7 linked regions of the Ovis aries genome follow. The protein of the gene in region 4 interacts with the protein of the main gene of each other region in a pairwise test. Links are inferred from orthologs where the notes say so. Each region holds a gene or a part of one and is shown on either strand. Other genes may lie near its edges. The genes, in order: UBASH3B, UBXN6, BATF2, DAZAP2, ROR2, BAG3 and TENT5B.

Region 1 (3,779 bases), on a different chromosome or scaffold from region 4:
GAGGGAAACCAGCACGCACGCCCTGGCCAGGCGCCCAAAATGCACCAGGGAAGGGCTGGCTCTGAACTTCCCGGATTAAGCACAAAAGAGGAACAAGAGACACCCATCAGGACAAAGCTGGTCGTACAGCACAGGCCACTCAACGTGGGAACAGGCTGGTCTGGGGGCACTCCACAGAAGACCTGGGTGGGGAAGGGCCAGCCTGCCTCTCTCAGCCTCTGGAGGTTACCCATTTCCATAGAAATGGTCTCTGTCATCCAGGCATTCATGTGCCAGGTCTGAGGACTGGGTCAGGCGGTCAGGTCCCCTGACCTTGGCAAACCTGTTCTCTACTGGCTGACTGGCATAGTGGGAATCTGTCCTGCTTCTCTGGGGAGTCTGTGCAATGACCCGGGACAAAGTGCACAGAAGCCCCAAAGCCATAAAGACTCGGCGGTGGGCTGACCCACACTGAGGCCAGAAGACATGTCCCCTAAGCAGCCTGTTTGGTCTCCGATGGAGAACTCTGACAGATGTTCCAGCCGTGGTGGCGGGTGGGGTAAAGCGGGGCATCCCGCTCTTCCCGTGCCCCAGCTCCGCCCTTCCCTGAACGTCTGGGGCCAAGAGCGCTGGACTCCACGCACTGCCGCCCTGCGTGTCCCGCCACCTCCTCAAGGGCCACAGTGTCCTTCGAAAAGCAGCAGGCAGAGAGCCCGGCATGGGCTCACCCGTGAAATATCCAGGTGCTGCACTCGTCGGCCTTGGTGATGTAGTTCTCCGGCAGGAGTCCAGAGCAGCCCGTGGTCAGGGAGGTGCCGTAGATCCAGCCCTCGCTGGTGCTGGTCTGCTCCATGGGCGACATGAAGATGAAGTCCCCGGGGACCAGCTCCAGCTCGTCGTCGTTCTGCGGGGTGTACGGGTAGATCACCTGCAGTGTCTGGAAAAGGGGGAGAGGGAGGCGTGAGGCCCACGCCTGACCAGCTCTGCTGAGCGCTCAGGGCCCGCCTGTGGGCTCTGCTTGCGTTCACGGGCACCTCTGGAGTCTGCAGGCTCCGCGTAGATCTGGATTCAGATCAGAAGGAGTTTCTCCTCCTCTCAGGATATGCTAGTGCTTCTGGCTCGTTCCAGACTTTCCTTCAGGCATAGCTTTGCTTCAAAAGACATGGCTTTTAGAAATTCGTATGAAAACCTGTAGGTTCTCCAGTAAACTGCTTTACAGACGGGTCTGGACCTCGTTTTCCCTGCTCTGTCTGCCACGTTGATGCCATAAGAGACCCTGGACACACAGCTCATGGAAAGGAGTCTTCCATGCAATGTCACCAACACCCAGATGAGAGACTCTGCTAGGAAGACTTTGGGGACGAAATGTCTCCTCTCCATGTAACTGAGCAGCTCAAATAAGACATGGTCCTGCCTTCAAAGAGCTTTCTTTAAACCTCCATAGTTAACAAAGACCTCGAAAGAAAAATATCTTTCACAGCCATCAGTGTCCTGTGTGTAACCAGCTCTTGTCAGTCAGCAGGTGGAGACCACGTGTTCCCTCTTTGGGCTCAGAAAAAGCCCCTTGGGCCAACCCCAGGCCATGTCACTTGTCTGATTTATTCCATATTTTGCCTCCTTATTTATTTTGCCTCACAGGCAGACGTATGAAGATACTCTGGAAAACATCTATTAATATTTTACTACTTTTCTGTTAACAGCAGGAGACCTCAATACTAAGGGAAATATTTTTCTATGTGTTTCATAAGAGGACACTAAGACGGAGCTGTTTTATCAGCTTTTCCTTCAATCCTGAAGCCACTAGAGGAAAGCTAAGTATTCTGGTTCCCACGTACGGGTTTTTAACTTTGTTTGGCCTCTGTTATTTCTCATCTGCAGGGGCTTCCCTGGTAGCTCAGATGGTAAAGAATCTGCCTGCAATGTTGGAGATCCAGGTTCAAACCCTGGGTCAAGAAGATCCCTTGGAAGAGGGTATGGGAACCCACTCCAGTATTCTTGCTTGGAGAATCCCATGGACAGACTAACCTGGTGGGCTACAGTCCATGGGATTACAAAGAGTTGGACACGACTGAGCGGCTACCATTTCATTTTCTCATCTGTAAAATAATACTTAGACTATAAAAGTTAAATGAGACAATCTAAGAAAACTCCTGAGGACTCTAGTACACAGAAGAGGTGTAATTATTTCTATTGAACCATGACTCCTGGCTTTCAAGGGGTTATCTTTCCATCAAGCTGATGCTAACCCCCAAAGTCTATGCTAGGTAGGCCTGTGAGCTAATCGGCTCCTTGGGGTCAAGGTGATCCATCAGATATCATAAAGAATTTCCTTCTGGAAATCTCTAACGAGAAGAGCCAGTAAAAATGATTTCCCCCCACCAGAGAATGAATGTGATAATGCACAGAACTCGAACGCCCCACTGGATTTCTGACATCCCTTTTATTTAGGGCACCCACTTCCTCTCCGAATCCTCACTCCAGCATCTATTGGCTCGAGATCTTCTTCCATCCCATCGACTCCCCACTCCTCTGTCAGATACACGCTCAAATTACATTTTCAAATGAACCAGGAAGGTTTTTTTGCTGGGTTGTTAAAAAACAGCTTAAGGAAAAAGAAAAAAATTCACAACCAACCACTTAAATCTCTAAGCTAGGTATGTGATGAGACACCAGAAGCAATGCTCCTTTTCCTGGAACAGGGTGGAGAGAGGCACCGAGTCACAGGAAACAAGTCTAAACTCAGGTTCCTTAGATGCTCAAGCGCAGCACAGTCTTGGGTAATGATGCCTCTGACTCAGCGGCAGGCGTTTCCTTTGAGAAACTCAAAAATGACAGGGAAGATCTCATCCCTCCTTTCACTTGGGGATGAGTCTTCTGGCTCTACGAGATCCCAGGGAGGTTGAGGTACAGAAAGGAGCCGAAGGTACAACTCCTAGGCAGAGAGCAGTTGCACAACAAGGAGCTTTGATTTACCGAATGAGCAATAAAGAAAATCAATGTACTGCAGCAAATCTCAAATTATAACCGGTGCTCAGGTCCCCATAGTTCTTTCCTGCTCACCGAAACTGCACGGCATGCAAAAGTCAGCCCAAGTTTGGGAGATCTCAGGACACACTGCCTAGTTTTGTCCTGAAAGTGTTAGTCACTCAGTTGGCGTCTGACTCTTTGCAAGTCCATGGACTGTAGCCCACATCAGGCTCCTCTGCCCGTGGGATTCTCCAGGCAAGGACAAGAGTGGGTTGCCATTCCCTTCTCCAAGTTTTGTCCTACATGATACTTACTCTCTTATGTCTAGCATCTACTTGTAAGAATTCTAGAGTCTATTTCAAATATGTTTTCCTCCCTTCCTACTTGGGGACTAAGCTCAAAGTTTGCTACCCTGGGAAGGGCAGGTACAGCCCTTTGTGATGATAGGAACTGACCCTCTTTGCCTTTGAAGCCTTTTTTACAGCTGTGGCAATTTTTGCTGTTGTTGCTGCACCCTCTCTTATGGGAGGCCCTCTAGTCCATACCAACAGTCTAGCAAAATGTCATCACTGTGTTGCACCCAAGAGAACTAAGGACTAGGTTACTATCTAGAAGCTGTAAAAGCAAATCTACTGCTAAAATAGGGAGTCAGGATTTGAAGCCATGTGTGCTAGGCGCCAAAATCTACGCTTTTCCTAGAACTCGGTCCTTCCTCTAGATTTCCAGTGCTTGGCACATTAACACTAGCATGGCACACTGAACGTGGAAGAGATGGTGTGAAGCACAAGCAGGCACGTGCAAGCCCACGAGTCAGCACCTGAACAGCAGAGGGG
Region 2 (4,246 bases), on a different chromosome or scaffold from region 4:
GACAGTGGTTCTAACGCTGACAGAGGAGCCCCTGGAGGCAGATGGTGGTTCTGTTCCCTGCTTGGCCATTCTGGGCAAATCCTGCCCTGGTCTGGGCCTCGGAGTCGTCACCTGTCAGGCAGGGGGAGAGCACACCCACTGTGTGCCCCCTCCCCCATGGGAGAGTCTCCACCCCTATTGTCTACAAGGGTAAGACCCAACCAGACTTCGTCTACTGAGCACCAACTGTGTGCCAGGTAGACAGCATGCCAGGAGCTAAGGCTCATCATGTCTATTCCTCAGGGCAATGTTCCTCCCTGCGAGGGCTCCAGACACTCTCTCAGAAGCCCCAGAGGCTCATGGAAGCTGGGGCAGTATGCCAGGCTGCACACAGGCCCTGTGTGAGGCAGGCTACAGAGATTTGGTTTGATATTGCCTCCACCCTGGGAAGCAGGGTGATTGCCCTGTAAGATGGGCACCCTCCAGCCCTGACCCAGCCGGGAAATGACCTGGCCTCCTCCTCATTCCAGCAGAGTCCTGCGTCCCACCCAGGTCTGACTCTGCCTTGCTCTCCTTCCCTCAGGACTCTCCCTTTGGGAGCTGGAATCATCTATGCTATATCTCAAGAGGGAGCCAAGAATCTGCGTTGATGGCCTTGCTGCACACACACCACCCCCGGGGTCCCCCTCTCTGCTCAGACACCCAGGGCAGCCCTCTTTTCTGATCCCTGATCCTCTTGCCCACCCTGTCCACAGCTGAAAGTTTCAGGCTGAAGAACAGACAAGTCACGTATGGATAGCTCTGCCCAAGCCCCACCATTGCATAAAAGCACCATTTTCCAAACCTTTCACTCCCCCCTCCTCCCTTCATCACTCATCCTGGCAGCCAGAGGGGTTCTTCTAAAACCCAGTCACTCCTCTGCATACACAGCCCCCTCACCCCAAGAACGACAAAACCCTGTTGCAAACACAGGCCCTGCACGAGCTGCCCCTTTCCCTCATTTGCTCCCATCTTTGCTCTGCTGCTCTTCCACCACAGGACCTTCACACTCTGCTTTCTGGGGGAGTATTCTTCCTGGGATGGACAGAGGCTACTTCAACAGTGCATGCGTGTGTATGGTATGGGTTGATTTCCACACGGCTAAATCTGAGCTCAAGCTTCCCCTTCTTAGAGAGACATTCTCAGACCACCTAACAGTCCCCAGCATCGCTGACAATCTCAACCTTGTTTTTTTCCCTTCATGGCCAACCTTCCGTCATTTATGTACTGGCTTACTTGTCCACCTCCCCTCACAGGAAGGGGAGCCCTGAGAGGGCAGGGATTCTCATGCCATGGCAGTTAGCTGTACACACACCCTGCGTCTCCAGGCTGGCTCCAGGCACATCACAGAAGCCCAAATTTCCACATGACTTCCCTCCCCTCTCCTTCCAGGCTTCCAGTCTGACAAAACCATCAGCCCTCACCTCCTTCCAGTCACACACAGTCCCAGCTGCTCCAGCTCCCACCTCCACTCACTACTTGATGGACAAATGATTGGACTCCCCTATTTGGCCCACGACTGTCCCTGGGCCCCTTTAAAGGGGTCCTCCTCCACCCCCCTACCCCCAGGCTCCCGGGACCTGCACTTTCCTGACTCACAGATCTGGCCCTCATGGGCCTCCTTCATCCCACTCAGTGATCCCTTCCCAAGAACCCCAGGGAACCCCCAAGCCTCATGACAGATGCCTGGATGTCCTTACCATGCACCCACTCTCCCTCACCCACCCCACTGCCTCAGCATTCCCTCACCAACCCTTACTGCCAGCCACCCAGTCTCTCCTCCCAGCCCCCACCTCTTCACAATCCCTTCCATTATGCCTCACAGACCCCCTCTCCCCAGGCTGACAACTTTCTTAAGTCACGCCCCATCCTAAACCCCCTCGGGCCCCCAAGCCCTCTCTGTAGCTCCCTGTAGGAATCCCAGCTCCTTCTAGACTCCTTCTGCTCATCCCTCCCCACTGTGGAGCCTTCTCAGCCCATCCACCTTACCTCTCCAGCTCATCACTATCTTCTGCTCAGCACTGGCCCCTCACACTTCCCCACGGAGTCTCCAGTGTGGCCCCAGGCCCCTCTCTTCAAGTTCTCCCCAGTCAAGTTACAGAGGCCTGGAAGTGCAGGCCACCTTCCCTCTCCTCCCAGGTCTCCCTCCGGAGCCTTCAGGCCACTCAGCGATCACCCACGAGGAGGACCCCCATCTCCTTCTAGTCGGAGTCCCCCAGGTCCTCACCTCCACCCACCTGCCTCCCTTCTCCTCCCAGATCTTCTACAGCCCCTCACAACGCCACTCACCTCCCCCTCCCCCCCGCAGTTCACCCGCACCTCCCAAGCCTGGCCACACCTCCAACAACGCCTAAGCCCTCCGGATCCTCACCTCCCGGCCACCCTCCTGCCCCACAACCAAGGCCCAGTTCTCTATCGCCACGGAGCTTAAGCTTCACGACTTTTTGCGACCCCAGCTCTTCTTGTTTCTCCAGGATCAGTCCCCAACCTCTGATCACCGAGATGCCCTCAGATCTTAGGCGATGACTTTTCAGGGGCCGTTCTCCGCATCCCTAGCCTCTCCCTTACCGCCCGCCCTAACCGACTAGGGTCTCTTAACCGACCCCTCAGTTCCTGCAGCCCCGCCCCCTCGAGCCTCGCTCCCTCTGCCCCGCCCCCAGAGGCCTCCCCTCCCCCTACTCCCACCCCTCCCTCGTGCCCCGCCCCCGGAGGTGTCCCCCACGTTCTCTCAGCCGCCCCTCCACGCCCCTCGCCTTCCCTAGACTTCCCGCGCCCCACCCCACCCGCCCGTCCCCGTCCCCGGGTCTCAAGCTTCAACGCCTGTCACGCACCCCGCCGACTCCGTGAGCTTCTGACCCGGTCCCGCGCTCTTGAACTTGATGTCGGCCTTGATCTCTTGGAAGAATTTCTTCATAGTGGCGGGGGGCCCGGCGGCTGGGGGCCGCGCGGGGGGGGGGGGTAGGGGGGGCGCAGGGCCCAGTACGGGAGGGGCCGGCAGGAGCCAACAACCGGAAAAAAAATACGCCGCCGCCGGAAGTCCCGCCTTCGCGAGGGCAGTCCACGTGACAATCGGCGCAGCGTGCCTCTCTAGATCTCTGCGTCTTGCTGGCCCAAAGTGACCACTCTGCACTCTCGGGGCGCGTCTCGGTGGTTCGTCGGGATTCTGTTGCCAGGGGCAACGACGGTGCTTCCAGAGGGAGGTGGTGCTTCCAGGAGGTTGTGCTTGAGCGCCTTCCACTGCGTTTCCCAAGGAGAGACAAGAGGGAGAGGGACAGGCCGAGGACCCCGCGGAGAAAGCGCTAGCCCTGTCCTTTTACTTACTCAAGAACCTTCCCTGACTACCCAGCGGTCACGTGAAAAAGTCCCAACTCTGTGTGGGGGCAAAGTCCCCACGACCCAGTCACGTGGTCAGCGCCAATAGTCCTCAACAAACACAATGTGGGAGAAAATGAAGAGGATGGGTCGCACAGAGCTAGGGCTTGGGGACCCCCGATGGCGGAACACCGAGGGGTTTAACTTAAAGAGATCGGACATTATCCTCAGAGTGCTGACGGAGTTCAACGAAGTGCAGCCCAAACTTTAACCTTCCTGAACTTTATTTTCCTAGCTATGAAATGAGTATACGAATAGCACCGGCTTCATAGAGGTCGTGAGGACAATGCTGCAATTCGAAATCCCTGAATAAATTGCGGACGTTATCATGATTTTGTTATTGTTCAGTCGCCAAGTCGTGTCCGACTCTTTGCTACCCCATGGACTGCAGATTTACTTCTTTAAGAACAGTTCTTGAGAGTCCTTTCTGTACCAGCAGTGAAGAAAACAAAATCCCATGCCTCAAAGAACTCGTGATCTTTTTGATTGGAGGAGAGCCAGAAAATAAAAAATCTATGGTGGAGTGGATGGTGTTAGTGGTATGGAGAAAAATTAAGCGGGAAACAGGATTGAGGGGATGGGAGGGTGGAGGCAGTTTGTAACATCAAATAAGAATCCGACACAGGAAAAGAGCTTGCTTGAGACCACCAGGGAAATTTGATTGGATCCAAGTGTTAGATGATATAAAGGAGCTATTGTTGATTTTGTTAAGAATGGTAATGACATTGTAGTGATGTTTAAAAATAAATTTTTTTCAGCTAGAAATATTTTCTGAGGTATTTGTGGGTGAAATAACATCTCAGATAGGTTTTCGTTTTTATTAAAATTTTTTATATGAGCCATTTTTATCAGATAT
Region 3 (4,207 bases), on a different chromosome or scaffold from region 4:
TACCTATGAGTTTCCACTTTATTTTGACTCTATTGTTCACTCCAGAAAGAAATACTGAGTTCCTTCTATCTGCCAGGCACTGGTCCAGGTAATGGGGAGACAGTAGGCAGCAGAAGCATTCCCTGCCTTCAGGGTGCTTACAGTCTGGTGAGGAAGACAAGCAATGGTCAACATCTAAACTTGTGATGCAAGATCAGTGTTAACCAGAAAAATAAAGCAGAGTAATAGGTGAGGTCTATTTAGCTCAGATGTTTAGAAAGACCTCCTTTTGAGGCGGTGACATTGGAGCCAAACACCCAGCAAGGAGTGAAGATCTAGCTGGGCTGCTGTCTGAAGATAGAGGGAGCAGCCGGGGGAGCCCCTGAGGCTGGACATGCTCCATCAGGGAAGGAACACAGAGAACGAGGTGCAGGATGTTGGGAGGGGAAGGTGGACAGTGGGGGTGGGGTCGCAGAGAGCGTAGGACCTTTGGGTGTGGAGGGCTCTGAGGTTTACTCATTGCAGTAAGGACTATCGCATATGCAGCCCAACCAAAGGCCAGGTCCTGAACCTAGCTCTTACCGGTCCCCCCGAGGTGTGTCCTTTCTGCACAGAGGAAGAAGGGAAACCCCAAGGTCAGGTTAGCATCTGAGGTCAGGTTACCATCCAAGGTGAAGAGGCAAGTGTGAGTAGAGCCTCCCCACCCTCCACCCCACCAGGCTCCTTGGCCTCCTTTAGTCTTCACAAGGGTCCTGCCAGGGGGCAGGGATTTTTGGATGAGGACAGTGAAGCTCAGTGAAGGAAAAGACCTGCAGCTATGGAATGCAGCAGCTGGGACTCTAAAGCCAGCCCATCTTAACCCTGAACCAGTTTCTCGCAGACGGTCTTGGCCACTCACATCAGAACCCCGACAGGCAGGGTGATCGCCGCAGTGCAGCACCTCTGAGGTGGGTTCTGGATGGGCAGGGCTCAGGGACCTACCTTTGGATGAGGGCCTCACCTGGTCACTGGGCCAGGTTCTCCCTGTTTCCCTCCACTTCTTGTCTCCTCCCTCTAGACTGGGGGTGCCTTGAGGGCAGGCCTGGGCTGAGAATGCACTGTCATGCCCCTGGAGCCCAGCGTGCATCTGGCACACAATTTCTGCTCAGCACTCAGGAATTTCTGAATCTCAGCTGCAGAGCCCTCCTCTCTCCCCAGGTTCAGGGCCCCTGGCACCTACAGCAGTGCACCTACAGGGAACTGCTGATTAGTGGGACAGAGAAGAGGTGGCCAGCCCGGGTGAGTGACGTCGGGGATGGGAAGGGAGGCGTCCCCACCTGGTGCAGGGCATCCGCCTTGCTCGTGTGCTTCTGCCGGCTTCTCTGGGCGGCCGCCCGGTTCTTCTCTTTCTTCCTCAGCTGCCTCTGATGCTCCTCAGCGTCCTGTAGGGGCCCGACAGGGGCGGGCTAGCTGTAAAGCCATTCCCTTCTCTTTTGGGGGGTCAGCGCCATGCGGCCTGTGGCATCTTAGTTTAGCTCAGGTGTTTGGAAAGACCTTGTCCTACTGAAGCAGTGACATTTGAGCCAAACACCCAGCAAGGAGTGAGGGTCTAGCTGGGATGCTGTCTAAAGGCAGAGGGAGCCGCCAGGGTTCAAACCCGTGACCCCTAAATTGGAAGCCTGGAGACTTAACCACTGAACCACCAGGGAAGTCTCAGCCATATTCTTCTTGAATCAAGTCCCCGAGGGTCCCCTTTCCGCCAGAAGCCCTCTCTGGCTCCATCGGTTTCCACACACCCCATCACAAACACAGCACAGCTCGGTGGAATGCCAGCCTCACATCCGTACCACTCACAGCTCATGACGGGGTAGTACACGCCCCAGACAGAACCCGCTTCACACCTACAGGCTCCTTATGCACCGTGTTGCTCTGGGTAGATCATTCACTTCCCTGAGCCCCATTGCCTGATCTGCCCCAAATGGAGGCACTGGTGCCTTCCTCACCGGCTGGAAAGCTGGCAGGGGTTAATAAAAGTTGCTGTTGTTCTAATCACTACTGTTTCCACCGTTAAGGTGTTGATTTCTCTAGCCTGAGCTCCTTCTGTGAGGACGAGAGTGGGGGTGGTTCTGATTCTACTCTGTGTTCCCCTGCCCAGCTCAAGCCCAAAGCTGATATTCATTTATCCCACAAATATTTGCACACCTACTATGTGCCACGCACTGAGCTGAGGGGACGCAGCAGCAAACATAAGAGGCAGTACTTCCTGCCCTCAAGCTACTTGCATTCTAGTGGGCCAGCAGCCTAGAATGAGAGAATGAGTCCCTTCTGACAGAAGAGTGGACGCAGAGGGTGACAGCTGTGACTCTCCCCCTTCACTGGGGTTCATGAGCTTAGATGAATAGTTAACCCACATGCCCAGGGCTCTGGAAAATCAGACAAGCGGGAACACTGGAGACCCCACAACCCCCTCCCTCAGGTCACTCTGGGAGGTGTGTTCTGAGTGTGGGGACCTCAGGCAGGACCCTGGCCTCCCTCGCTGAGGACTCTGCAACTCCTAAGTTCCTGGCCACAGCAGGCCCCTTGCAGGTGCTGGGGGACTGAGAGACTGGAGCCTGGAGGGGAAAGACCCGCCATAAGAGAAGGGCCTGAGCCTCTGGTACTTGGGTTCTGGACTAGAGGCAAGGCCTCCAGGGGAGCTGTGGCCAGAAAGCTCGGGGAGGAAAGAGGAGGCTCCTGTAATGGCAGCGTAGGACAGGTAGGTGAGGAGAGAGCTGTAATCAGAGGCCAAGTTCTAAACTGAAGCCTGGATCTGCAATGTGAGAGCAGGAAAGCCCTCAAGCCAAACCCCTAAGGAGACTGAGGCCCAGAGACGGGTGTGTGAGGCCTGCGCTCCCCAGCCCCTGCGAACAGAGCCGGCCCCGGCACCCTGGGGCATATTCCCCTTCTTAGCCCCTGAACCTGCTCCCCTGCACTCACCGTCCTGGTCAGAGGCCCGTCGCCCCCGCAGAGGTGCATGGTGGGGAGGAGAACACGGGCTCACACCGGTGGGGCGTCCCTCAGCTGCTGTGACCTCCCAGTGCCCTCTTGGGGCCCAAGGAAGTGGCAGCTCTTTAAATCCCCGGTGACCACTCCGCCCCCAACAAGGCAAGTTTCAGTTTCTCCTAAAGCCACCAGCTGCTCAGAATCCCAGGCTCGGCTTGGCTCACGTGGCTGGAATTTCCTAACACATACGGGCCTTCCGGTTGGGCCCCTTTTCTGGGATGAGGACGGTGGAGTGTGGCCAGAGGAGGGGGGCTGAAGGCCAGGTGTGGGGAGGCTGCTGTAGGAGAGGGCGGGCAGGCTGCCAGAGACAGAGCCAAGAGGAGAAGCCAGTGGGGCACAGAGGGCTCACCAGGGATGTGGGGGCATCCCTGGGCTCCACAATTGCAGGAGCCAGGTTCACAGCCCACTTTTGGCTCGTTGGAGCTGTGCAGTTTTGAGAAGGTGATTTACCCTCTCTGAGCCTTAGTTGCCTCATCTGTAACGGGAGATGATATAGATATCCACTCACAGGCTTGATGTAGGGACTAAGCAAGATAATACGACCACCTCCCCCAACGCTGTGAGACTAATAATGTTGAGACAAGTCTGCAAAAATAAGCAACGGCCCTTAAATAGACGAACAGATGGCTAATGACTGTGTTTTCATACAACAGACCACGCAGCAGTAGAGAGAGTGACGTCTAGCAGTTAAGAGCACAGCTCCCAAGCTACGTGACTCGGGTATATTATTTCACCTTTCTGTGCCTCTGTTTCCAAATCTGTTAAGTGGGGACAAAGATAATTTTTTTGCTAAGGTTACGTATGTGAAGGCACCTGAAAGCATGCCTGGTGCAGAACGAGGGCTCAACAAATATTCACAATTGTGATGCGATGGAAGACTCAAAGCTGCGTGTATCATCATGTCTAAAAGTTCATTCCTTCCACTTGGAAGAAAATGACAAGTGGTAACCAGATCTGAATAACACCATTTCTGAAATGTTGAATAATACGGGTGTAATTATGTAGGAAAAGTATAAAAATATGCATGAGAATCAGAAACACAAAATTCAGAGAGTGGTGGCTTGCTGGGGGTGGAGGTGGAGAGGGACTAAAGGGGACCCACAGAGACTTCAGTGTGTCTGTGACATATCATTGCTTCAGCTGTGGGAACACACTTGTCTTGTGATAGTATTATTAGCTACACTCTGGGGTCCTGGAGAGGGAAAGG
Region 4 (4,465 bases):
GATAGGCAGAGTAAAGGGATAAGAACAAAACAAAACCAAACCACTGATTTGGGAACCGGGGTGGGGGTGGGGACCAAGATAACACACCTGACTTTGTAACCTGTTCACTGTGTGACTTAGGGCAAATCTCTCATTTGAAAAACAGAAATGCTTAAACAAGCCCTGCCTGCCACACAGGGCTGTTGTGAAGATCTGTGATGACTCCATAAAATCATGCATATTAATGGTGTCCTGCAAACTGTAATTTGACACTGGAGAGAAAAACAGCGGACTGCTGATGAAGTGAGTACTGGTCTTTTCAGTGGTTTAAGTCATTCAACAGCAAATATGGATCAGGTTGCTAATGTTTACCGAGGGTTTTTCTTTTCAAAGCTTTCTTTTCAGATGCTTTTCTAATGTTCTTCCTACACTACAGAATGTAAACCATGAGAAAATAGCCTTGGGCTGTCTTGTTCAGCTCCATCTCTGTACCTGAACACAGCAAGCGTTCAGCAAATATCTTAAAGAATGGAAGCAATTGTTGCCTTAAAGGATGGCATCTTTGCTCTTAAGAACGATTAAGTTAGAAGAGAAGGGATACACAGAGAAAATACCTATCAGGTACCATACAGGTGTCTGTGACAGGTATCAAAGTAAGGGCCAGGGCATGGGTACTCCTTGGGTACCAAGAACATGCGTTTTAGTGCTAGCTGTTGCAGCGGGGTGGGGCGGGGCACAGCACAGCATACCCTTTCTGTCGGTGAGAAAGCGACACAGAAATAAAACACCGACAGCCTATCGGTAGAATAGAAAGGCAGTGAAGACTTGAGTGAGGGGAACGAGAGATAGATCAAGGGTTGCGAAGCATCTCAGGCAGTTAGGTAAGATTGTAGAAATCTATGTCCCGTGTGTGTGTGTGTGTGTGTGTGTGTGTGTGTGTGTAGGAATCTATGTCCCGTGTGTGTGTGTGTGTGTGTGTTAGTTTCCGGTTCGGTCCATGGGAAATGGCAACCCACTCCAGTATTCTTGCCTGGAGAATCTCATGGACAGAGTCGCACAGAGTCGGACTCGACCGATGAGACTTAGCAAGCATGCATGCCCCTTGTAGAAAGGCTGTCAAGGTGAGGTGACCTTGAGGTGCTGAACGTAGGTGGAAAAAGGTTCCAGAGAATAGTTTAATGTTACTGCCTCCGAGCGTTCAAGAGAGAGAAGATCCCGTTTTGAGACAATACCTGTATTTGGTTTTCCTTCAGCCGAGGGACAAGGGTAGGGGTTGGAGGACCAGACCCGGTGGGCGGGGCCTACGCGAGCGGACGGGATCACGCGGGCCCTCCCTCCTGCAACCGGCGGCCGGGCGAAGGGGCGGGGTTTCCGGTGGCAGCGGCACTCGGGCGTCGGGTGACGCTAGGCGGACAGATCGTCACGTGACACGGAAGTGACTACGAACAGGAAGAGGACGAAAAAAATAACCGTCCGCGACGCCGAGCCGAGCCGGACCCGCAGCCACCATGAACAGCAAAGGCAAGGATAGGGGGTGGCTGAGGCCGCCGGGGGGACTAGTGCTGGCCCGGAACGAGCGGGCCCGGAGCCCAGGGTCACCGAACGCCAGGCCTGGGGCGAGGTGCGCCGCGCTCCTGAGCCAGCTGCAGTGCCCGGGGCTGCGCCAGACACCTTCGTCATTCCCGAACTACGGCCGTTCGCTCCCTCACGGCCCTTTCTCCCTTAAACTCTGTGGCGCAGTTTGGAGCTGCGGACTCGGGTTGGGGGGGGGCTGTTGGGTGGGTGGGTTGGGGGGGTGGGGAGAAGGTTTGTCGTGATGGGCATCTGTAGGAGCAAATGGGGAGCTGGAGGCGAGATTTGGGTAGGCCAATGGAGAACTGGCAGAGGCGGGGCGCCGCGCTCCGGAACCACAGGCAGGCCTCCGGGCTTAACTAGTAAAGTGCCGCTCTGGTGGGCGGGCCAGTCGGGCCCGAAGGGGGTCTCTTCCCCCTTACCCTCGCTGGCGGCCAGAAAGTCTCCCGGTTTCTGTGTCAGAACATTCCCTTCAGCCCCCTCCACGATCTCAGCATTCACTTCCACCACTCACTCTTTTCATTTGGAAGTCGACCTTGAGTAGGAACCTGTGAGGTCGATGACCACAACCACCGTTACTCACGAGGTCTTGGTCAGTTACAACCAGACCTTTGGAGACCACGCAGGACAGGGAGACAGGACACACCGTTGAAATACCGGCTAGAGGGGATGCCCAGAACTGCCCTGCGTTCTGAGAGGATCTTGGGCCCAGCTAGACTTTCCCCTTACAGCAGTCGGCTACTGGATGTCCAGTTGGAATCCAGCTTCTTCAGCTTTAAGGGTGCAACGAGAATGCTTATTTTCTTGGCTCCAGGAATCAGGCCCTCTAGGGCAGTCTGTTTGGAAATCTCTTTTTGCTTATCCCAGCTAGATTAGCTACCCAATATGCCCTGCTTTGTTTTGGTGACTGTATGGTAGACAACATGCTTTTTTTCCCCCCTTGTCTTCCAGGTCAATATCCAACGCAGCCAACTTACCCTGTGCAGCCTCCTGGGAACCCTGTGTACCCTCAGACCTTGCATCTTCCTCAGGCTCCACCCTATACTGATGCTCCACCTGCCTACTCAGAGGTGCTTCCAGTTAACTTAATAATGGAATACTCTTGGATCATGTTTTCGGTCCTTGGCCAAGTCTGGCTCCACACATTTATTTACTTTCCACAAACAGAAGAGAGTGCTCACATGAATCATCTTAAAACGTGACATAGTTCAGCCATTTCTTTTGGGTTTGAGAAGGCATTATCTGATTGTTTTATGTTATTTGGCACTGGCTGAAGTTAAGAAGATGAGTTTGCATTCCCTGAGCCTAACATTAGCTATAGCAGGAAGTGATCCAGGAGAATATTGAGTGGCAGTGGAAAGGCAACTTGTGTAACTCAAAGAGTGTAATCTGCACAAGGAGAATTAAGACTTGACTCATTAAATTGAGATCTGAAATAGGAATGTCATGAAGTAACTTATTGCCTTCTCTTCTGCCTCTTCTAGCTCTATCGTCCGAGCTTTGTGCACCCGGGGGCTGCCACCGTCCCCACCATGTCAGCTGCATTTCCTGGCGCCTCACTGTATCTTCCCATGGCCCAGTCTGTGGCTGTTGGACCTTTAGGTTCCACAATCCCCATGGCTTATTATCCAGTTGGTCCCATCTATCCACCTGGTTCAACAGTGCTGGTGGAAGGAGGGTATGATACAGGGGCCAGATTTGGAGCTGGCGCTACTGCCGGAAACATTCCTGTGAGTATGACTTGGTCACAAAAAAGCTCGACCCTTGTGTATTTTAACTTTCTGAAATGACTGGTCATCCTTTCATCATCCCTGGGTAATAGTTGCTGGTATTGGTGTAATAATCACTGACGTCCAGTAGTCAGGCAGAAAGCACTCAAAGGGGCAGGAGAACCGTGGCCAGTCAGTAACATCTGGCGTACTCACTGATGTTAGAATTTATCAGATTCCTTTGTTTTCCTGTCTTAGGAGTCCTGCCTGCTGCTTTTCCAGTTCACTTTGATACTAGTTTAGTAACACTCCTCATTCATTCCATAAGCATTTATTTATATGTGCCATCAGCATGGCATCGTATTAGGAACCATGACGATTAAAAAAACAATGCATAATCCCTATTAAATTGCATTTAGAGAGATACTAGGGATTTTAGCAATGTCTCTTGATTAGTTCCCCTATGTATGGGAATTAGAGCCCATATGGTCCTTGCTAGGACCATCTACTCAATAACCATAGGCTAGGGATGAAGTGAAAATGCTGTCATCAGGTAGAGCCTTCAGATTATCCAGGGCCATTTGAAAACTGTCAGGCCCTGTGATATAAGTCCCTGGACCTGGTACCCGCTCCGTTTTGGGATGTGAATAGGAGTGATTTTCTGCACTGAAAATGCCAAGTCTGGACTTCCCACACTTAGAAGGTATCCATAGGCTTTATTTTGGATCCAGAACCCTTTAAATGAGTGGGTTTCCTGTTTATATCTTTGGCCTTACAAAGAATGTAGACCTGCTGGACTCAGATTGGTGGCCCAGATAGCTCTTTGAGATGCCGCTGGTTAGCACACTGCCATCTTCCTGATTGGTCCTTTTTCACCTTTGTCCACTTCCCTCCCATAGCTGCCCTCTGCCCAATCAACCTTGTCTTTTCCTTTCAGCCTCCTCCCCCTGGATGCCCTCCCAATGCTGCTCAGCTGGCAGTCATGCAGGGAGCCAATGTCCTCGTAACTCAGCGGAAGGGAAACTTCTTCATGGGTGGCTCAGATGGTGGCTACACCATCTGGTGAAGAACCAAGGCCATCTCTATGCCGGGAAAGACATCACATACCTTCAGCACTTCTCACAATGTAACTGCTTTAGTCATATTAACCTGAAGTTGCAGTTTAGACACATGTTGTTGGGGTGTCTTTCTGGTGCCCAAACTTT
Region 5 (3,779 bases), on a different chromosome or scaffold from region 4:
CCAATTTTGGCCTCTACTCCCAGGCGGCAAAAGGCCTAAGAAAGCCAGAGGTGGCATCGCTTTGGGGATATCAACTAAGAGGATGTAAAGACCACCCCCTACAGGACTGCTCCTCTCCCCAATCCCGGAACCTATCAGGTGAGGACGTATTTCACGTGATGAAATAAGATGGTTCTAGGCATCACAGAGATCCAACAACTCATGTCCTTGTTTTCGTTTACATCCAGCACATCACTTTGATGGTTCTGGGGCTTATCCCTGGGAAGCTTCCAGTGTCCCTGGAACTCATTCTGACAAGCATTCTCTTCAAACAGACTGTATCCACAACCAACACAGTTTCTAAACCATCAGTCAGTCTAGAGCAACTTCACACTTAACATTTTCAAAAATCCACAAATCTAGAGAACCCTCATTCTAAACTTTTATCTTTAAAAAATGCTATAACATGAGTCTGCTTTGATATCTGAGTTGTTATCCTTTAAACTTCCTGAAGAAACAACTGAGAGACAGCCCTGTGCCTTGAATCAGTGTTTGCCAATTAGTGGGATACACAATTAATTCTGGAGTCTGTGGCTAGTATTTTAAACGATGATTAGAATGGAACAGAGGATGTCAGAGTGCATGGTTTATATTAAGGCTGGAAACAAGTTTTTTCTTTAATGAAATAAAACTGAAGGGAAAAATCAGCTTGCATTGCCTTTGTTGAAGTGAATGTTGTTTCCTGTAACCCATTTCAGTTCTATGAAGCAGATATATATGTATACTAAGTCACGATGTAAAGTATACTTTATGCTGTGGGTTGTGATCAGAAAGTTCAAGAAGTTCTGCTTTAAATGGCATAAGGAGCTTTTCCAATGAGAGATACAAACAAGTTCAAAACATGTGCCCACTGGACCATTACTGCCCTTCCAGGATCTTGGGGTCCCATTACTGCCCTTCCATTTCTCACTGGACACCTTACCGTGTCCTCAGGGGTCTCTGTAGCCATGGGCCAGGCAGGTTAGACCTTAGACCCTCCAGACTGAGGGTGAAAGACAAAGCCAGGATCAAACTGGACTTAGAAGAACATTCAGTGACACCTGCGTGAGTTTCTACCTGGGGTCCTCTTTGTACTCTTACAGGGCAGTGCTCTGCCAGCCTCTCTGCAAATCCCTCCAGAATCTCCAGGGAGCCCACATCAGGGATCAGCCTGGGTCAAGAATCACTGTGCAGAGAACCTAGTTCAACTGGGTCACCTGCCATCTTCACCCGATTCTCCCTGTTCCTTAAAGACTCTAAGGAGAAAATGTGGGGGTTTGTGAGGAGAGCAGAGACAGAGGGGGAGGGCTTTTTAGGGCCTTGGTTTAATTCATTTTCTCACTTCTCAAGGAGTGTCCCCCAGGAAGTTCTTAACATCAACTTCTAAAATGATGGAAAACGAGCACGTTCACTCCTAAAGGATCTGAACCACTTCTCATACATTGGAGCAGGTAACCGAAGACCTGACTATGCCCAGCAGCCAAGGGCTGGTGGGGGTCTGAGTTCACTGCAGGGTCCCTAGGGTACAGCTGTTGGCCTGGAACCTCTGTCCTCAATAGCTGAAATCTGGCCCAGGTACTTTGTACCCAAGCCAGGTTCCTTGTAACTCTGAGAAGGACAAGAGCTAGGAAAGGCAGAACCAAGACTGAACATCACAGGTGCGGGCCTGCCCATGAGGGTAGTGGAGGGAAACAAGACAACGCAGGGCTTGGGAGCCGCTCAACCGACTGAAGTCAGTGTGTTCGTACACTCCAGGCAGACTGCGCTTGCTAATTTGCATACACAAATAGGAATATTTTAGGATAAACTGCAACCACTTCTGATAAAGGCCTCTGATTTTCTCTTGCACGAGACATGACACAAGGATTCACTGGCCATGGTTGTAAGGGACAAAATACACAAATGGAATTGAAAACACACCAGCAGGGCGACAGGCAGCTGCATGCATGCTCAATGTCTCAGAACAGAGGACTGCACTCCTACCTGTGATTCGGTTTTCAATCTCCCCCTGCATCTGGAGAGAGTCCACATAAATGGTCCGGTTCCCAATGAAACGCGCACAGGCAATTCCCCGGTAAGGCTGGCAGAATCCATCCTCATGGTAGTCGTCTCTGGGAAAAACACACGATCCGTGAGCACACTGAAATTATCCCCAATGATTTTTTTTTCTCTTTTTAAATCCAGCATCTGGTGAGCTAGCCGTCTTGTCCCTTGGCATCTACCTGAATAAACTGGAAACTTCTGTCCACACAAAAACCTATGTGTGTGTGCTCAGTCATGTCTGACTCTTTGCAACTCCATGGACTGTAGCCTGCCAGGCTCCTCTGTCCATGGGATTTCCAAGGCAAGACTATTGGAGTGGGTTGCCATTTCCTACTCCAGGGGATCTGCCCAACCCAAGGAGTGAACCCATATCTCTTGTGTCTCCTGCATTGGCAGGTGGATTCTTTACCACTGCACCATCTGGGAAGCCCACAAAACACACACAGAGAGACATTTATAGCAGCTTAATCCATAACTGCCAAAACTTGGAAGCAGCCAAAATGTCCATAGTGAACAAAAAAACTGTGGCACATCCAGGCAATAGAATATTTACTCAGCACTGAAAAGAAAAGAGCAATCAAGAAAAGATATGAAAAAAAAAAAAACCCATGGAGGCAACTTAAATGCATGTTACTAAGTGAATGAAATCAGTCTGAAATGGCTGCATGCATACTGTGTGATCCCAATTCTATGACATTCTAGAAAAAGCAAAATTATGGAGCAGTAAGAACATAGATGAATGCCAAAGGGTTGGTGGTGGGGGTTGGTGACTAGGAAAACAGGAGATTTTTAGGGCAGTGGATCTACTCTGTATGATACTTTAATGGTGGATACATGTTATTTTACATTCGTGCAAACCAGAGAATACACAACACCAAGAGGGAACGAGCCTTATCGTAAATCATGCTGCTACTGCTCAGCCACTTCAGTCGTATCCAACTCTTTGTGACCCCATGGACTATAGCCTGGCCAGGCTCCTCTGTCCATGGGATTCTCCAGGCCAAGAATACTGGAGTGGGTTGCCATGCCCTCCTCCAGGGGATCCTCCTGACTTCAGCTAATAATAATGTATCAATACTGACTGGCTTATAGCTGTGGTGTTGGAGAAGACTCTTGAGAGTCCCTTGGACTGCAAGGAGATCCAACCAGTCCAGCCTAAAGGAAATCAGTCCTGAATATTCACTGGAAGGACTGATGTTGAAGCTGAAACTCCAATACTTCGGCCACCTGATGCGAAGAACTGATTCATTTGAAAAGACCCTGATGCGGGAAAGACTGAAGACGGGAGGAGAAGGGGACGACAGAGGATGAGATGGGTGGATGGCATCACTGACTCAATGGACATGAGTTTGAGTAAACTCCAGGAGTTAGTGATGGACAGGGAGGCTTGGCATGCTGCAGTCCATGGGGTCGCAAAGAGCCAGACATGACTGAGGAACTGAACTGAACTGAACTGGCTTATAAACTGTAACAAACGCACCATACTAACACAAGACGTTACTGATAGCGAAAATTGTATGTGGAGATGGGGGGAACGAGTACCAGAGCTTTCTCTATACTTTCTGTTCAATTTTTCTGTAAACTTAAAATTGACCTAAACTATCCAGTACTTTGGGCACCTCATGCAAAGAGCTGACTCATTGGAAAAGACTCTGATGTTGGGAGGGATTGGGGGCAGGAGGAGAAGGGGACAACAGAGGATGAGATGGCTGGATGGC
Region 6 (4,560 bases), on a different chromosome or scaffold from region 4:
CACTGACTAGTGCACTTGCAGGCCCAGCTCTTTCAATAATAATACTTCTTATGGTAAATTGGTGCACTAGCATTTGGGTTTATACCTCAGTCTCTTATGTATTTGGTGGTGACTTGAGTCAGTTGTTGTTTAGTCACTAAGTCATGTCTGACTCTTTTGTGACCCCATGGACTGCAGCCTGCCAGGCTCCTCTGTCCATGGGATTTTCCAGGCAAGAATACTAGAGTGGGTTGCCATTTCCTTCTCCAAGGGGAACTTCCTGACTCAGGGATCAAACCTGCATCTTCTTGTTGGCAGGTAGATTCTTTACCTCTGTGCCACCTGGAAAGCCTGACATAGTACAGGGCTTAAACATCTCTGTGTTTTCACAAAGCTGAGTTTTTGTACTTCAAAGCTGGTAAGTAGACCTATGTAAGTGAGACCCCCATTCCATTGAAAATGATTGGCAGTTCTCTTCAGCATTTGCTCTAAAAGGAGTAATTTGGGGGTGGGAAGAGACTCCAAAAAAGTGTTTCTGAGGGTTCCAGAATGTCCTCTGCATTTGAGTTGGAATATTGGGCCCAATATTACTTAGCCCAAGGCATCTTCTCAAAAATGTTTCTGGGGAAGGGAATGATCCTGCAGGCCTAAAAATCTAAAATGAGACCTCCCAACATACCACCTCTGGGGGCATACTTTCTCTCTCTCTCCCAGAGGAAATGAGGTGCTTGGTGGAGGTTACAAGTGCAACCACCATTTCATTACACAAATTTTTTTTCATAATTTGTATTCTTTCCTACTTTTCAAAGGGCTTCCCAGGTGGCTCAGTGGGTAAAGAATCCGCCTGCAGTGCAAGAAACATGGGTTTGATCCCTAGGTCGGGAAGATCCCCTGGAGAGGGAAATGGCAACCCACTCCTGTATTATTCCCTGGACAGAGGTGCCTGGCAGGCTCCACAGGGTCGCTAAGAGTCGGAGGTGACTGAGCACGCATGATTTACACTACTTTCCAAATGAAGGTCAGATTAAGATAGCAAGAACCAACTTGCACCATCAACAAGCCCCAAACCCCAAAGAATGTTTTTTCTTTAAAGTTCTTCACTGCAACGACAGAGTCTACGTTTAAGACATGTGCTTCAGCAACATGCATGCGCTGATGCAATCTTTCTTTAGGATTCGAAAGAAAGGCAGGTGAATTTCTATTTGTACTTCCATTATTCGCCCTGGCTTGCTTCTGGTGTCGGATCAACATTCCAGAGCCCTTTCCGGACGGCCCTTAAGCCCATGGGGAAAAGTGATTAACTGAGGGTCACCAATGTCCCGGAGTATCAGTAATCTGGGGGTACAAAGGCGAGGTGGGAGAGACTCTAGTTTAATCCCCAACGACTTAAAAGGCTAACGATGAGTTTGTTTTTACACGAAGGAGCCAGTCCCGGGAACACCCACGCGGCTCGAAGAAGACCAAGCAAATCTGAAAACCGAAACCGGCCCAGGACACACAGATGACGTCCCCGGGGGTTCGCTCGACCTGCCGCTCGGCGACACAGGGATCCCGCGGATGCAAACCCCTCGCCCAGCTCAGGGAAGACTCCGCCAGGAGCCCCCGACCCGGGGAGCCGCGAATAGGGGGAAGAGGTGGCGGGGTGGAGGAGGGGCGGCCGGCGGAGGCCCCGCCCACGCCCCGCCCACGCCCCGCCCCGCCCCGATTATAGCTGATGACTCAGGGCGGAGCTCCGCATCCAACCCGCGTCGCCGCCAACTTCTCTGGATGGGACCAGAAGTTTCTAGCCGGCCAGTTGCTACCTCCCTTTATCTCCTCCTTCCCCTTTGGCAGCGAGGAGGCTATTTCCAGACACTTCCAGCCCTCTCCGGCCACGTCACCCCCTCCTTTAATTCATAAAGGTGCCCGGCGCCGGCTTCCCGGACACGTCGGCGGCGCTCCCGACTTTCCGCTCCGGCAGCGGCCAGCGAGCGACCCTACACCTGGAGGTCCGGCACCCCGCGACCCCGTGACCCGGCACCCCGCGACCAGGCACCCTGCAACCCAGCACCCCGGCGGCCGCCCCTCCGGGCCGACCCCGACCCAGCATGAGCGCAGCCACCCACTCGCCCATGGTGCAGATGGCGTCCGGCAACGGCGCCAGCGACCGCGACCCCCTGCCCCCCGGCTGGGAGATCAAGATCGACCCGCAGACCGGCTGGCCTTTCTTCGTGGACCACAACAACCGCACCACGACGTGGAACGACCCGCGCGTGCCCCCCGAGGGCCCCAAGGTGAGCAAGGCCCGCGCCGCACCCTTGCCAGTGGCTCCCCCTCCACCTTCCCCCCAGCCCCCCATCGACGGCCAGTCTAGGGACAGGGCCGGGCGGGGGCGGCTGGACTGGGCCCGGCTGCGGGGACGCAAGGCGCCAGGTGCCCGCCGGCCGCAGCCGGTGCCTCGGAGGTCAGTGAAGGCCGCCTGGAATGCACGGATCCCCAGAAGGACGCCAGCTCCCAGGGGGGTCGGCCTGCTGCGCCCCCCACGAGCCCACTCTCCAGGCCCGCCCTTGGCCGGCGTCTGGGCCAGTTTGGGGAGCTTCCCAAGAGGACTGCCCTCCCTTGGCCGTGTTTGGTTTCCGGGGGTCGGGCGGGAAGCGGGACCCGCGCGGTGGCACCAGGTCCCGTCCACCGGCTCCATTCGAGGGGCCCTGGGCCAGGAGACGACGGGTGGCCGGCCTGCTCAGCACCAAGGCCCGGGCCAGGCCCTGCCACGGTCTCCACCCGGCTTCCAGGGCTCAGATCCTCCTTTCTCTCTGCTGACCGTGCTTTGGCAGACGCCAGGGGACCGTTGGCAAGCTTCTGTGGGGGTCCTTTAGGGTCTCTTAGGAATTTTACATCCTCAAGTTCCTAAACTTGGTTGAGGGTATCTGGAGTTCACTCTCCCACCTCAGGCACAGAGTGACTCAGGAGACTGATGTAAATGCATTCCTTTTCTTTATTTTTTCCCTTCTGTATTTGAAATTAAAACTCTATTATTGTTTGAAAGTTGTCCTCACTAGGAATATATTCTAGTATGACTTGTTAAAAATAAGATGCAATCTTCCAGGCAATTTCTAAACTGAAGATGTGAGACTGTCTCCTAGTTGACTATTGCCTTAGATACTGCCTCACCCTGGTCAGAAAGAGATTAAAAAAAAAAAAAAATCAACACATTCCCTTTCTCGTTATGCTACTAAAATATTTAGGATTTTTTCTTATCCCCAATACACAAATAATTTAGTAGTAATACTTTTGTATTAGAAGTATGCCTCATTTACATATACGCAGGGGTGTATATACTACTTAATCCTTAGAACCATGAAAATTTGAAAATATAAACTTGGAATGAGTCTGTTAATTTAAAAAATTATAACTAATTGTACTGCTCTTGTAATTTTTATAACTTTGAGCTTTTTCAAAACGTAAAGCTTGGCAAAAAGAAATAGTCTGGGCAAAATAGAAGACATAAAGAGCTGGTAAGTTATTTTTAAGATTTAAAAATTCACAGAATTAAAAATGTTTTATAAACCATTGTTTTAGAAGAAAAAAATCTGTGTTAACCATCTTCAGTTTTATGCAGCTTTTTCCTTTAAAATATTTATGAAACTCTGGTGCCCAACAGTGAGATATTGTATAATCAGCAGCTTATGCTTATGAGAAATTAATTGTATATTTATTCCTGAAAATTATTTCAAGAGGCTGTAATTAGCTGGGATCGACATAACCATGTATTCCTTTCGCTTGTCTGTTCAGCCCATTATTGAGTGAAACTAAAGCTCATTTTAAACCAGCTCTGTTACTGCAGACTGCAAGGGTGTAGATCTTTACTGAGGCCAAAAAAAAAACCAACCTGTCTTTTTGAGGCTTCCTTCCTATAGAGACAGGAAGAGTCAGAATCCACTGGCGTCAGTGGTGGTGAGTGTAGGTCAAGTAGGAACGTATCCACTGTGAGTTCAGTGTACATGCCACATTGTTGGCGCTTGGTTTTCAACGTGAAACTCACCCAGCAGGTTGAGATCTTATGTATGATGGATGGTTAGGCTGTGGTTTTACAAACTTTTTCAAGGCAAGGGGGCGGGGGGAACAGGTTAAGTTACTGTTATTTTTCTCAACAAGTAGAACATAAGAGCTAGTAAATCAGAAGTTTGATGCCATAAAAGTTGATTTGAAAATTTAACAGAATTTTAAAGTTGAAAGATCGTTTAAGATCTTTTAGCTCAGCCTCTCTTTTTCTGAGAAAGAAACCCAGAGAGTTCACATGTGTTTCCAAAGGCCATTCAGCCAGGACCAATAGCAAAGAGAGACCTACACCGGAAAGTCCTATTTAAGAGGCAGTTTATTGTTCAGAGGAAGGTAGAAGAGTCTTAAATTTCTTAAATTTCTATGAAATTTAAGTGTGAACTGGGAAGGCTGGAGTACTTGATTGTTTTTCTGCCCTTCTGACTTTTGTGACTACTTGGATGGTGATGGCTGGATGTGATCAACTCAAAAAAAGAGCTGCTTACCAAATTAATTGAGATTTCTCAACGTGGCACTAGAACATAAGGAGAAAACTAACATTCA
Region 7 (4,313 bases), on a different chromosome or scaffold from region 4:
TTTGGCTGCAGCTGGAGAGATCAGAGACGAGTTCAATCCTCTGAACCCAGAGAGGGCAGAGGACTTGTTTAGGGACACACAGTCAATAAGTGGCTGAACTTAAGTAGAGTCAGTTCTCCCAGAACTATGTTCCAGGGGGTGGGGTGGGGGTGGGGGCCTCCTACAGGAGAGTAGGTTCCTCTAGCCCAGGTACAAGCAGGAATCGTATCTCTAAATGCCCAGATTACTGCTGGGCAAAGCTTGTTGGGGGGCAGAGAGGGAGAAAGTTTCCAATTCTTGAACCATGGGACAACTCAGCACAGGTGAGAAGCCCAAAGTCAACAAACCAGCATCTCCCACCACATACACACAAACAGGACCCCCTGCCACCACCCGCCCCCCATACACATACACACACACATCCCAATAGCTTGTGAAGCTGCCAGCTACAAATTCCTGACAGAAGATGGACTTTCTTCCCTGTGGAGGCATTTGTACAGGCCACGTAAAGGACCCTTTGGATTCTGGAAGCAGAAGGGGCAATGGAGAGCAGTTCAACCCATCCCCATTGAACAAAAAGGGACACTGGGTTTCCCAGGGGGTACTACTGGTGAAGAACCCACCTGCCAATGCAGGCGATGTTAGAAACGCAGGATGGACCCCTGGGTTGGGAAGATTCCCCAGGAAGAGGGCATGGCAACCCACTCCAGTATTCTTGCTTGGAGAATCCCATGGACAGAGGAGCCTGGTGGGCTACAATGCATAGGGTTCCACAGAGTTGGACTTTGCTAAAGCAACTTCGCACGCACAGGGCCAGCAAAGGGAATTGACAATGGTCCAGGCCCTGAAACTAGATGTCCAGCCTTCCAGTCCAACTCTCTAAGTCGCCACTGTCCTCCTCCCCCCAACAGCCGGCAGTTCCCTGGTCTGTGTATTTCTGACCCTAGTCTAGGAGACATTGTACTTTTATCACATTGTAGAGTCAGCTCCTATTGACCTGCAGTCTTCCCCACCTGGATGGGAGTAGCTGGAAAGCCAGGGGGCTGGGTCTCAGTCACATCTGTGCCCCTGGTGTCCTGAACAGGGCTTGGCACGGAGAACATACCAGTAAAGGCAGTTTGGACCATACTGACAGGGGCAGGGACCTCCCCTTAGGGCACCCCAAGTCCCTGCAGAGAAGAACTCCCACACTGGGCTCATGCCTGGGATAATAGTCCTGGGGATATAGCATTTGGGGCCCCAAGTTTGACCTGACTGTCAAGGAGGAGAAAAACCTCAACTGGTTCCTAATTGCCCCATAACAGCGGGGCAGCCCAGGAATGCCTCGCCACTGATGACTCAACCCTAGGGAATCTGCCCCCACCCCCTCCCATTCCTTGAGAGGGAGGGAGAGGTAATCCCACAACAAGCAACCCTCCCCCTCTGTGGAAGCTAAGACAGAAGAGCCAGGGATGGGGGGTGGTCTGCTTTACCTGGCTTGCATGTCTACTTCCCCATCTGCTGCCAGGAATATGCAGGAATTGCAGCTAGATTTTCTGGTTTCTTCTAACTGCTAAGACCTACAAATTGAATCTTGGGAACTTGGGAAGTCTTGGGGAAAAATGGGAAAGCCTTGAACTTGTAGTAACCAGCTCCTGGGAAGACCAAAGATTCTCTGGGTTTGCTTTTCACCTCTAGGAAATCTTAGGGAGCTCACGGCCCTTCTTGGGGCCTCAGCTTCCCCAGCTATAAAATAGGTACAGTAATTACCATATTATGGTATTTCAGAGCATGACAGTGCCTGGGCTATATAGGTGAAAGAGCAATTTTAGGGTTGTTGAGGGCCAGGTAAAGGGAAGAGGGAGTCTGTGGAACAGGAAAGGAGTTGCCAGAATTCTCTTCCCCTCAGGAGAGAGATGGGGCTTGGGGCCAGAGACTCAACCCTCATTTCCAATCTTGGGAAAGGAAAGAAACAGCTAAACTGGACACCTGATGTCCCCCCACCCCACCCCGCACACAGGCATCAGGTGCCTCATGCTTAATCTCTTCCTGCCACACAACCCCAGTTGAGAGGGAGTCCTAGCTGGAATTTCTCAGCTTTCCGGAGGGGGCTCTTGAGCCGTGGGCTGTGGGAGCAGAGGACAGAGAGAATCTGCTCCTAAATCTCAAGAGAGGGAAAGGGTTGGGCATGAGACCTGGGGATGACGGTTTGGAGATGAAAAGAACTATCTCGGGTTCAAGCGTGCAAAACTACCCAAGCTACCCACCCAGGGCTGCCTGGCAACTCCTGTCCTTGCAGGCGGGGCTGTTCTTCCTCCCAGGCCAGGTCCCTCCCCACTTCCCGCCCCCTCCAGCCAGGACCTAGGTAAACGGTCCGAGGGCCATCGGGGCTCCTCAAGGGGCGGGGGACAGGAAAGTCAAGTGGGGAAAAAAGATTATGAGATGCGGGGGTAGTAGGATGTGGACTCCCATCAAGGTTGCGCGATTTTGTTACAGCTCTTGTCCTTCCCCGAGCCTTGTTTTCCTAGCTGTCCAACAAATCGAACAGACTCCGGGAACCTTGCAGCCACGAGAGCCTCAGGATGGAGACTTCCTATCCACCGCCCAGTGCCTCTCACCTGCACGATCTGCCGGGGCTGCACGCTTAGCGTGGGGAAGTTGCCGCGCCCGTGAATGGGAATCGGCTCGCTCAGGAGCGCATCCAGCCGCTTCACCTGCGGCCAGCTCAACCCGCTCAGGTGCTGTCCGAGGGAGGCCGATGAGGCCTCCGGGTCGGGGCCGCCGCCTGCCGGGGCGGCCTTAGCCACCGCCGCGGCCGCAGCCGTCCCCACCTGTGCAGCCGCCCGGTCCCGGCTCTCCGTTTCGCTCTCCGACGGCATCATTAGCCCGGCCCCGGGGCCCCGACGGCAGAAACCGGGGGGCGATTAAGGGGAGGAGGGCCGGGAGAGCGGCTGGGCCCCGACCAACGCGGAGGACGCAGGGACCGGACAGCAGCGACGGCGAGGCAAACCCAGAGCACACCTCCGACGGCGACGACCAACCGACCCTAAAGCTTGTCGCCCGGGGCCCCGCGGACTCTTATAGGCCGCGGGCGACACACCCATTGGTCCGAGCAGCTGTCACCCAGCGGGAACCGCCCCGCCTCTCGACGCGCCTGCCATTGGTCAGCAAAGCTTTGCACGTGAGTCACTGGTCGCCAGGAGGATTCCGATTGGTTGGATGGCACACCCCTGCCCGTCCTCCTGCTCCGGCTTAATTCCCTCCTTTGGTCCTTAAAGAACTTCTGTTCTCGGTGATTGGCTCGGGCCGAAGGCAAGTCCTGGATTTAAAGGGACTGCGCCCTCCAGGGGCAGACGAGAAGGAAGTGACCTGTGAAGTTTGTAGCGAAATTGGACCACTAAGCTCTTTTTTTTTTTTTTTTTTTTTGCACTGGAAGGAATTTAGAAATCACTGGGCCTGGTCCTAGTCATCCACTATTTTCAGAAGCTCAGAGAGACTGCGCCAATTGTTCGACTTCACACCGTGCTCCTCCTGCTCTCAGGCAATCTTCCAGAGTTGAGAAAAGGTGACGAACTTGTATACCGAGGTAGATACTTTGTAATGTACTCTCCTGAGCACACCTCTACCTGGCTAGCGTTAATGTTTTGGTTTGTGGGCCTGCTCAGTCGCTTCAGTCGTATCCGACTCTGAGACTCTATGGGCTGTAGTCCAGGCTCCTGTGTACATGTGACTCTCCAAGCAGGATATTCAATGGAGTGGGTTTCCATGCCCTCCGCCAGGGGATCTTCCCGACCCAGGGATCGAACCTGTGTCTCCCGGGTCTCCTGATTTGTAGGCGGATTCTTTACCCACTGAGCCACCTGGGAAGCCCCATGTTTTGGTTTAGGGATGAGGAAACCTGCTCAGAGAAGGGGCTTGACTGTCTCAAGGTCACACAGCAAGTGAGACAGGCCCTGGTGTTGAACCTGCACTAGAGAGTCTGCAGGCACTTGCTCTTTCCACTACACTTGAGCAGACTCAGGGCCTTCACAGGGCTGGAGGTTGGAGGGAAGCCTGAGCTGGAGTGTTGGTCTTCTGGCAGCAGCTTCCTGGGCAGCAGGTGGAAGTCCTTCCTGCCAGCCTCTTAGCTTCTCAGGTCCTGGTGCCTTGGGCAAGTCCCTAAATCTAAGTCGGTTTCCTCATCTACTCCAGAGAAGGGGCTCAATAAATATATATATTCTTAATTTGGTTTGGTTATTTATAGTTGGCAAAACATATTCATGTGTTCTATTGAAATAATACATTTACATGTTTTTCTCTCCCACTTTACAGAGCCTAGTGGGATGAGGCTTATTGTTATTATGTTTAATCTTTTC

Evidence for each region.
Region 1: the proteins of DAZAP2 (region 4) and UBASH3B interact in binary tests that used the Homo sapiens proteins (3 or more experiments, as listed by UniProt). The two-hybrid records come from large-scale screens. The link is inferred for Ovis aries from reciprocal best matches to the Homo sapiens genes DAZAP2 and UBASH3B.
Region 2: the proteins of DAZAP2 (region 4) and UBXN6 interact in binary tests that used the Homo sapiens proteins (3 or more experiments, as listed by UniProt). The link is inferred for Ovis aries from reciprocal best matches to the Homo sapiens genes DAZAP2 and UBXN6.
Region 3: the proteins of DAZAP2 (region 4) and BATF2 interact in binary tests that used the Homo sapiens proteins (3 or more experiments, as listed by UniProt). The two-hybrid records come from large-scale screens. The link is inferred for Ovis aries from reciprocal best matches to the Homo sapiens genes DAZAP2 and BATF2.
Region 5: the proteins of DAZAP2 (region 4) and ROR2 interact in binary tests that used the Homo sapiens proteins (3 or more experiments, as listed by UniProt). The two-hybrid records come from large-scale screens. The link is inferred for Ovis aries from reciprocal best matches to the Homo sapiens genes DAZAP2 and ROR2.
Region 6: the proteins of DAZAP2 (region 4) and BAG3 interact in binary tests that used the Homo sapiens proteins (3 or more experiments, as listed by UniProt). The two-hybrid records come from large-scale screens. The link is inferred for Ovis aries from reciprocal best matches to the Homo sapiens genes DAZAP2 and BAG3.
Region 7: the proteins of DAZAP2 (region 4) and TENT5B interact in binary tests that used the Homo sapiens proteins (3 or more experiments, as listed by UniProt). The two-hybrid records come from large-scale screens. The link is inferred for Ovis aries from reciprocal best matches to the Homo sapiens genes DAZAP2 and TENT5B.

The regions. Positions count from the first base shown.
Region 1 is NC_056068.1:33,164,166-33,167,944, reverse strand, and holds part of UBASH3B (ubiquitin-associated and SH3 domain-containing protein B), read right to left. Parts: exon of another isoform or gene 917-3,779; coding exon 708-916; intron 1-707. UniProt on the Homo sapiens protein: Interferes with CBL-mediated down-regulation and degradation of receptor-type tyrosine kinases. Promotes accumulation of activated target receptors, such as T-cell receptors and EGFR, on the cell surface.
Region 2 is NC_056058.1:17,474,342-17,478,587, reverse strand, and holds the start of UBXN6 (UBX domain-containing protein 6), read right to left. Parts: upstream 3,029-4,246; 5' UTR 2,933-3,028; coding exon 2,850-2,932; intron 2,666-2,849; exon of another isoform or gene 2,008-2,665; intron 1-2,007. UniProt on the Homo sapiens protein: May negatively regulate the ATPase activity of VCP, an ATP-driven segregase that associates with different cofactors to control a wide variety of cellular processes.
Region 3 is NC_056074.1:39,662,152-39,666,358, forward strand, and holds the start of BATF2 (basic leucine zipper transcriptional factor ATF-like 2), read right to left. Parts: upstream 3,045-4,207; 5' UTR 2,974-3,044; coding exon 2,935-2,973; intron 1,401-2,934; coding exon 1,296-1,400; intron 1-1,295.
Region 4 is NC_056056.1:134,988,974-134,993,438, reverse strand, and holds the start of DAZAP2 (DAZ-associated protein 2), read left to right. Parts: upstream 1-1,405; 5' UTR 1,406-1,487; coding exon 1,488-1,500; intron 1,501-2,502; coding exon 2,503-2,621; intron 2,622-3,035; coding exon 3,036-3,281; intron 3,282-4,197; coding exon 4,198-4,326; 3' UTR 4,327-4,465. UniProt on the Homo sapiens protein: In unstressed cells, promotes SIAH1-mediated polyubiquitination and degradation of the serine/threonine-protein kinase HIPK2, probably by acting as a loading factor that potentiates complex formation between HIPK2 and ubiquitin ligase SIAH1.
Region 5 is NC_056055.1:26,772,770-26,776,548, forward strand, and holds part of ROR2 (tyrosine-protein kinase transmembrane receptor ROR2), read right to left. Parts: intron 2,130-3,779; coding exon 2,002-2,129; intron 1-2,001. UniProt on the Homo sapiens protein: Tyrosine-protein kinase receptor which may be involved in the early formation of the chondrocytes. It seems to be required for cartilage and growth plate development. Phosphorylates YWHAB, leading to induction of osteogenesis and bone formation.
Region 6 is NC_056075.1:39,287,340-39,291,899, forward strand, and holds the start of BAG3 (BAG family molecular chaperone regulator 3), read left to right. Parts: upstream 1-1,713; 5' UTR 1,714-2,066; coding exon 2,067-2,252; intron 2,253-4,560. UniProt on the Homo sapiens protein: Co-chaperone and adapter protein that connects different classes of molecular chaperones including heat shock proteins 70 (HSP70s), e.g. HSPA1A/HSP70 or HSPA8/HSC70, and small heat shock proteins (sHSPs), e.g. HSPB8.
Region 7 is NC_056055.1:239,939,096-239,943,408, reverse strand, and holds the start of TENT5B (terminal nucleotidyltransferase 5B), read right to left. Parts: upstream 3,014-4,313; 5' UTR 2,841-3,013; coding exon 2,577-2,840; intron 1-2,576. UniProt on the Homo sapiens protein: Catalyzes the transfer of one adenosine molecule from an ATP to an mRNA poly(A) tail bearing a 3'-OH terminal group in an ATP hydrolysis-dependent manner.